2 separate regions of the Mus musculus genome follow, and region 2 is reported to be linked to region 1. The links are microRNA targets in miRTarBase. Many come from high-throughput screens and were not tested one by one. Region 1 holds a microRNA gene; the other region holds the end of a gene's coding sequence.

Evidence for each region. Region 1 holds the annotated microRNA mmu-miR-500-3p (AAUGCACCUGGGCAAGGGUUCA, at 1,349-1,370, opposite strand). A microRNA usually pairs through its seed, bases 2 to 8, with sites in the 3' UTR of a target mRNA and lowers its output. Matches are read on the target gene's strand: a 7mer-m8 pairs with bases 2 to 8, a 7mer-A1 pairs with bases 2 to 7 and ends in A, and an 8mer does both.
Region 2: the mRNA of Wtap is a reported target of mmu-miR-500-3p. Seed matches in the 3' UTR shown: 7mer-m8 at 3,178-3,184 and 7mer-A1 at 3,137-3,143.

Annotation. Positions count from the first base shown.
Region 1 is chrX:7,236,347-7,240,746 of GRCm38, forward strand. It overlaps Mir500 (microRNA 500), which reads right to left and starts at 1,428; the gene lies at 1,337-1,428. All of the region lies in intron 2 of Clcn5 (chloride channel, voltage-sensitive 5), which reads right to left.
Region 2 is chr17:12,963,770-12,968,169 of GRCm38, forward strand. Wtap (Wilms tumour 1-associating protein) reads right to left here. Exons shown (of 8, transcript NM_001113533.1): 8 at 3,030-4,282. The coding sequence ends at 3,699. Among named protein-coding and RNA genes, the nearest start is that of Acat2, 5.2 kb to the left of the region's middle.

The DNA.
Region 1 (4,400 bases):
GAACGAAGACCAAAATGTGGACACTTTGCCCCTTCTTAGAATTGGGAACAAAACACCCATGGAAGGAGTTACAGAGACAAAGTTTGGAGCTGAGATGAAAGGATGGACCATCTAGAGACTGCCATACCCGGGGATCCATCCCATAATCAGCCTCCAAATGCTGACACCATTGCACACACTAGCAAAATTTTGCTGAAAGGACCCTGATATAGCTGTCTCTTGTGAGGCTATGCTGGGGCCTAGCAAACACAGAAGTGGATGCTCGCAGTCAGCTATTGGATGGATCACAGAGCCCCCAATGGAGGAGCTAGAGAAAGTACCCAAGGAGCTAAAGGGGTCTGCAACCCCATAGGTGGAACAACAATATGAACTAACCAGTACCCCCACCCCACCCCTGAGCTCGTGTTTCTAGCTGCATATGTATCAGAAGATGGCCTAGTCGGCCATCATTGGAAAGAGAGGCCCATCGGTCTTGCAAACTTTATATGCCCCAGTACAGGGGAATGCCAGGGCCAAGAAGTGGGAGTAGGGGGGAGGGGAGTGGGGGGAGGATATGGGGGGACTTTTGGGATAGCATTGGAAATGTAAATGAAGAAAATACCTAATTTTAAAAAAATAAATTGGGAAAAGGAAAAAAAAGAAAAAAAAAAGAAAAAATATTCCTCCAAGGGCATGGTGAAGAAAAATAGTTGTAGGAAGAAAAATATGTACATGTGTGGGGAATTTGCACATTTGCAGGTTATACAGGCATTTGAGCTTGTACTCTATAGATATCACTATTTGAGGTCATTACTGTGTCCATGTACACTGTTGATCCAGATGGAGTTTGTTCCTAAAGGTGCTCACCAGAGACTACATGCAGTAATCTGGCCCTTATTGTCCATCCATTACCATACTCTCAACATTAAACTGAATGCCCAATATACAGTAGAAACTAGACATTGGGGAGGGGAGAAGGCAGATCTAATAGTTCTTTGTCCTTCCAGTGAATCTTTAGCTAGAAACCATGTCTGAAACAATACTCACCTCTAGGCTGTGAGGAAGTAGAAAAACATATCAGGTTTGAACTCCTGACCTCATCCTGTATAACCATACAGGACAGAATACAGAGAAAGCCTACACACTCCAGGTACCTGAGTATTTTATAAGTTAGCTGTAGAAAGAAGCCAACTAGAGTACCTGAAATCTCTTAAATAATCTGTTAGGGGGTTCCCTGGTATACATGACTCACTCAAACAACTATTTTACTCAATAGAGGGAAGGAAGGGGGAGGGGGAAAGAAGGAGGGAGGGGTAGGCTGACACACAGGGTCTCTGGTCCTTCTTGATGCAGATGAGCTCACCTTCTCTGAACCCTTGCCCAGGTGCATTGCATTGAGATAGCACTAAGCACCCAGATAGCAAGGATTAGAGAGGGGGAGCAGAGGAGAAGGACCAGGGCCTTGAGTACTCAATGTGCAGGGGGGGAGGCGGGGGGGGGAGATGGGGGGGGCGGGAAGCACTGTACTATACACCAATATGAAAGCAGAAATGAGAAGTCTTACACTTTGTGTGTTTCTGTAGATTAAAAAGTCCCATTTTGTGACTCACCATCAACTGAAAACATGGAGATGCCACTCCCTACGCATCTCTTTTGAGGGTGAGAGCTAGTCTATCTTGGGGACTACCACCTGCTCAGCATGGTGTCAGCAAATTTGTACTTGTTGGGGGAGAAATGAGAAAGCACTGATTTACAGGTAATTGCCCTTCTATAAGGAAGTAAAAGGCCCCTCTAACCCTCAAAGAGTAGAATGTTGTCAATGAGATAACATTCATATCTAGATGACAAAGACAACAGAGAGGGGGAGGCAAGCAGAAGACTTTATCTTGACGTTCATACCACATGTGTGTGCACAGGTATACTCTACGTATGAACAAATGAAGAAAAAGCCTACATTCCAATACCCTGAGCTCATTTCTAACCTCGGAAGCTATATCATGAAGAAGCTTAATCTCCATAGGCCCAGTAGACAGTAGAGCTAGCATTTCAGACAGCTTAGTTCACTGCAGCACTACCAAACATTAGGAATTCAATCGATCTGGATGACCAGAACAAAATACAAATGCAAGCAACCTGTTAAAAGAGCAAGAAAAAGAATGAGAAGTGGTGCATAGGCTTCTCCTATAAGTATGTAAGGCTCAGGGTTTGTATTTTTGCATAATCCCAGTGCACTGATAAGAGCATTCATGCAAAGCAAAATGGCACAGCCTTTAAATACCAACACTCAGGAGAGTAAAACAGGAAAATTATGAAATTGTAGCCAGCCAGACTATATTGTAAGATTTTATCTGAAAGGGAATAAAATAAATGAAATGAAAAAAAAAACATGCATGCCAGGTCTTTAACAACAGGCAAGGGTGAACAAAACCTGGGGTTTAGTCACCTATACAACAGATGTGCATTTTTAGTGTGTAAGAAGAAAGTTCAATGCACATAAGCATAGACTGCGATTATGTCTCCTCTCCTGCCTTTTAGGTATTCAGAGAACTACATCTCTACTTCCATATGTCACATGTGCATCCACATGGAAACACACACGAGACTGAGAGCTCTTACTTCCTAGCTCCCTGAATGACTGCTCTCTCAGTAGGAAAGCAAATCTCACCACACATCCCTCCTCTGGAGAAAGCTATGCTCTTCAGCAGAACACTCCTGCAACAACACATAGCACAGCATAGTGAACAGTCAACATGTGCTAATTAAATCACCTGGCAGAAGATTCATGATGACAAGGCCCACTCTCATGTGTAATCCATGCACACAAGGAAGTGTTTGAGTTGGTTTTGGTTTTGTACACCAATTATGTGTCTGTCTATAATATTAGGTACATGCCTACAGAAATCATGCTACGGTTTCTCTCTCTTTGTTGCATATTCATTTGCCCACATGCCATCATCAAGTGTGGGAATGAGAAGGCAGGAGAGACCAGCTGAGCTTCTCCCAGACAGCCTGCATGAACATACATAAGAAAGAAGGGAACTCTTTCCTCTCTAGCCCCTCACCTGGCTGGATTCTGTGATTATAAGATTTGAGTGATCATCAGAATCAACTGGAAGGCTTAAAGAGAATATAAACTGCTCTGTGTTATGACCTGATAGGTCAGGGGTGGAACTCCGCACTTTGAATGCATTCCCATGTGACGGTGATGCTGCTGATTCAGGGATCCTGCCTTGAGAATCACCACTGTAAATGGCCATTCAGAACATGAAGCATCTGGACACGGTGGCACATCAGACCTATAATCCCAGCACCCAGAGCCTGAGGCAGGTGAACCAAGAGATCTGGGCTACTCTGGAATAGACAGCAAGTTCCAGGCTGGACTAAGCTACTTAGTTAGACCTCCCTCATCTGAATAAAAAATATACATGATATAAAGACTACTATTTTTAACATGAAAGAGATTCACTTTTCTTTTGGGATCACATGTTGCCCAGGCCAGCTTGCAAATGTGTGTAGAAAAGTATGACCTATGGAGGTGGGTATAGGAGAATCAGCTTGAGGGACAGAGCTACACAGTAAGACAGTAAGCTCCTGTCTTCAAATGGGAGTAGTGATGGTAGTTGACAAGAAGTCACTTAGTCTACTGGTCTTCGGGCTGAAGGGATGAGGAGAGGGAACAACACAATAGGCTCCATATCCACTCTTCCTGTGAGCGAGTGACTCCTCTCCACGTAGGCCCATGTGTTTAGGCATATCTAGGGCCATGGGAGGGGGAATAGTTTGAGAAATCTCATCTATCAGACCCTGCACTGAGTCATTCATACAGAATAGAAAACAAGGAACAATAGACCTAGGTCATTCTTTTGAACAGCAGTTGGTGAGTCTATAATAGTCAAGGATCTTAGTGTGTTTATTAGTCTCCTAAGAGAGTAGCACCTCTGTTCATTTTGTTTCCTGCTACATCCTCTATGACTAACAGAGCTGTATCAAATAGTGCATACCTGAATATTTGTGAAAGGAAGGAAAAGGAACAGGGGTGTGGACATATAGGGGCTCTGTCCTTTAAAGTGCAGGCGAAGTGCCACCCTTTGGATTCCTTGGACAGGACTTACTATTGAAAACAGCACTTGTGCTGAGGATTAATGTTCCTGATGAATCAGGTCAGATAATCCTCTCTGTGGGCACAAGTCTGTGAATCCTCTCCTCTGTATACACTGCATTTATATGGGACTGTGTTAAAATATGGAAGAATCCAAGTGGACAGTGTACATGAAGTCCCAGTCTACAGTCCACTCATGCAGGCATAATGGATGTGACACAGCTCACTCTCCCTGGACCATTTGCTCCCTGAACCACATGTGGTTCATACTCCTGTGGACCAAATCCCTAGTTGAGTACCTGCCATACTGAATAAATAGACA
Region 2 (4,400 bases), not on the chromosome of region 1:
AAAAGAGGTTGTTGCATCTTCTGGGACTGGAATTAGAATAGGTTGTCAGCTGCCCTGTAAATCCTAGGAACTAAACTCTGGTTCTCCGGAAGAACAGTAAGTGCTCTTGAAGATCTCTAGACACTGGTCTCAGGCCTCCACACGTAAACACTCGTGAAAAAAAAAAAATGAGCAGGAATACTTTCTTCTAGGGACAAGGTGTTCACTTGTCTCCTTCCTGGAGGCTATACGCAGAGTAAGCAGTGCCAACTGCTTCTGTGGAATGACTGACAGCAACACCGAGAAGTCTTCATTTTAGCTCCTGAGAGACCTATGTGCTAGATTCAAGTCAAAGATAATGAAGGGGGAAAAGGTTAAGAGAATAGTTTCTATTTTTTTCTTTTCATTTATTATTTTGGTTTACAGTTCCAAAAGGATATTCATTGAGGCAGAAAGGCATGGCAACAGGGAGAGGAAACATGGCAGAAGAAGGAATCTGCTATTGGTAGTATTCTAATCTATACAGGAACCAGAGGGCTAGAATATTTTTGTTGTTAACTCTTTTGTTGTTTTGCTTTTTTTTTTTTTTTTTTTTTTTTTTTTTAAAGATTTATTTATTATATGTAAGCACACTGTAGTTGTCTTCAGACACTCCAGAAGAGGGCGTCAGATCTTGTTACAGATGGTTGTGAGCCACCATGTGGTTGCTGGGATTTGAACTCTGGACCTTCAGAAGTGCAGTTGGGTGCTCTTACTCACTGAGCCATCTAACCAGCCCTGTTTTGCTTTTTCTAGATAGTTTCTTTGTGTAGCCTTGGCAGTCCTAGAATTTGCTCTGTAGACCAGGCTGGCTTAAACTCAGAAATCCACTGGTCTCAGCCTCCCAAGCGCTGGGATTAAAGGTGTGCGCCACCATTGCCTGGCTGCTTGGTTTCTGAGACAGGAATTATGTAGTTAGTTCTGGCTGGTCTGGAACTATGTAGACGAAACTGACTTCCAAATTATAGATTCCCTGCCTCTGCTTCCTGAGTGTTGAGATTAAAGGTGTGTCTCACTATGCCCAGTTTTTTTTAAAGATTTATTTATTATTATATCTAAGTACACTGTAGCTGTCTTCAGATGCACCAGAAGAGGGCATCAGATCTCATTACGGATGGTTGTGAGCCACCATGTGGTTGCTGGGATTTGAACTTCGGACCTTCCGAAGAGCAGTCGGTGCTCTTAACCACTGAACCATCTCTCCAGCCCCCTATGCCCAGTTTATTTCTTGTGTATGTGTGCAGCACACATGTGCAGGGGCCTGTGGAGGCCAGAGAGGGCTTTGGGTCTCCTAAAATTCAAAGTTATAGATTATTGGATGCCAAGAATGGAACCAGAGTTCTCTGCAAAAGCAGTAACGTGCTTTCTCACTGCTGAACCATCTCTCCAGCCCCTACAATAGTTTCTTAAATAACTCCTATATCTGTTAGACTGAGGGGAAAAATGGAAAAAAATAATTTAGTGGTGCTACAAACTATTTGTCCTTAAGGGGTCTTGCAGTCATTCTGGGGTTGTTTCATGACTAGTTACAGGAGTCCAACTGTCAGAAAAATGCTGTTTGTTCATGAATTTTACTTTTACAAAAGGCCATATTAAACACAGTTGAAAGGACAAGCTCATCTGTTGAAGTATATTTTTAATAGGAAGCATTTTTTACACATGCTCACACTCGTCTTCTCAATAGTAGCATTCACTCTGAGATAGTAGCTTCAGGTTGGCCTTGATTTCTCAATCCTGTTTCACCCTCTCAGTGTTTTGATTAGACAACATAAAACAGCTACCATCACAACCAACTGTTCACTCACTGAACTGAGTATATGACAACTAGCCCACCTTTCAATGCTAGACTTAATGCTGCTTTCAATTTCTTTTGTTCATAAACTGTTTTTTGTTTTGCTTGCTTTCTCTTTTTTTTGGATGGCCTGGGCTGTGACTATGCTAAGCAGAGCCGTGCCATCCTCAAATTGCTTCCAAAGACTATTTAATCAAGCTTGTTGCCTTAGCCTGCCATCATTAACTATATACTTAAAAGCTTTTATAACTTGCATTTTAGAGTACATTCTAGCTGTCTTAAGACACACCAAGAGTGCATCGGATCCCATTACAGATGGTTGTGAGCTACTATGTGGTTGCTGGGAATTGAACTGAGGACCTCTGGAAGAGCAGTCAGTGCTCTTAACTGCTGAGCAGCCTCTCCAGCCCTTAATTTGCATTTTTACTGCACAGCCGTCACGTTCATTTCTCGCTCCAATCTCTTAAGTATTTGGCACAGCAACCTCAAACCCTGCTCAGGTTTGTTTCTTTTCTTCCTTTTATTCAGAAGCACGAAGGGAGGCAGGAAAACATTAAGGACTAAGCTCAGAATCATGGTTGGGTGACCTGCTAACGTAAGAGTGGATGTTGTCAAGGGAGCTTAAATGATAGTCCTCTAAGTGTTAGCCCAGGTATCATTGCCACATTTTGAGAACAATGGCAAACTAAGGATGATAATAAATCCGGCAGATGCATGGGTGGGGAGAAGAGGAAGAGAGAAGGTGGGCAAAAAGGGAGTGGTGACAAAGAGATGGCACAGCTGTTAAGGGTACTTGTTTCACATGTCCAGACCCATAGACCTCCTTACAATACATGCAAGGATGCTGTTTCTGGAAAAAGCATTATTTGGCCAATGCTTTAAAGCAAACATCTTTGTACCTATTCCCTGAAATCAGATCTGAAGAACAAACTGCTCTTCAACAAAAACCTAAAATTTGGTTAGTTTTTTTAAAAAATGAGATCTTTACGTCAAGAGGGAAAAAAACCAAAACCAAAGTCCTTGAGCTGTAGTCAAACTCCCACTTCATTCTGCAAAGAAAAGTGCAAATTAAAATTAGGTGGATAGTCAGACTTAATGCATAGACTGTTTTAATGTGATCTTTGTATATACTACAGAGTAAGTAGCAATTCAGCCATTCAGTGAAAAGAAAGGACAATTGCTAAACACACCCAAGACAAAAGGAAAAAACAAACAAGAGTCGTAATAAAAATGTTTATTTAGGTTTGGTCAGTACAGGTGAGATATACTGGAGTCACAGGGCAATATGCATTAACAGGACACAACAGTTCATAAAAACTTAGTAACTATGCACACAGATTTCTTAACATTCAGTCACCTAAAGATGAATGCACCTAAAGATGTATGGTGGAAAAACTTTATCTAACGCTGAAACTACTATAGGACTCCAAGTCCAACTTTTTAGTGATAAAAACTACTATACTGGGCAAACCTGGCAGTCCTAAACCCACATCTACTCTAACAAGTCTGAATGGTGCATGAGTAACAACAGCGTGAGGAAGAGTGCCCTGACAGCACAAGTTCTAGATAAGACAGATTTATACAGACATCATTGCTATAGATTCCCATTTACAACTTCACATTAACTCATATAAAAATAACTTGACCCTACACAAAATGTCCTTTTAGCAATGTTCAAAGTAATTAACTGTTACAATTTTCAAAGTGGCAGAGGTATTGAAGCAATTAAAAAAAAAAAAAAAAAAAAAAAAAAAAAAAAAAAAAAGGAACCAAACAAAACAAAAACACACCCACAAAAAGGTAAATTGTGACAAAAGTATGCATTAATTTTTTGACAGTATCCTTTCCCCAATTAAATGACACTGTATAAAAATTTTCTGGAAAAATATTACAAAACTGCACCCTGTACATTTACATTTGAGTCCAAGCCATTCTGAACATGGCGGGAACCCACAGTTCGATTACCTTTCCCACTCACTGCTTTCTCCTCTTGAGGGTCATGACTGGAGTCTGTGTCATTTGAGTGATGTGTGAGAGAGTTTTCACTGCCCGTGGGAGAGTCTACACTTTCATACCCCGCACTGAGTGGGTTTATGTAACTACTACCTCCTCTGCCAGTTCTCTCCTCTGAGCTGTTGGAGGCCTTATTACCATTCCCTGAAGAAGAAGGAAAGTCATCCTCAGGTGTGCTCCCCTCCCTGTGAAATCCAGACCCAGACGTCCTCTGGCGGGAGGAGCTGCCATTACTTGGTCCATTTGCCAGACGACTGCAGTCTTTGCTTGTGACCTCTGCCTGATCTACAGGTTCAGAAGATGTAGTCCTGCTGGTACTTGGAGCTGAAGCTTGAGACTGCTGCTGCTGGTACTGTGCCAACTGCTGTCGTGTCTCCTTCAATTGTTGCTGAAGAACTAGAATGGTGCTCTGCATACCCTCTACTTCTTCATCAAGTTGAATGATGAAGTCATTCAGTTCTGTGCAAAGGAGAGCCAAACTTTAGTATCTTAATTTTTTGTTTGTTTGTTTTCTGTATAGCCCTGGCTGTCCTGGAACTCACTCTGTAGACAGGCTGTCCTCGAACTCAGAAATCCA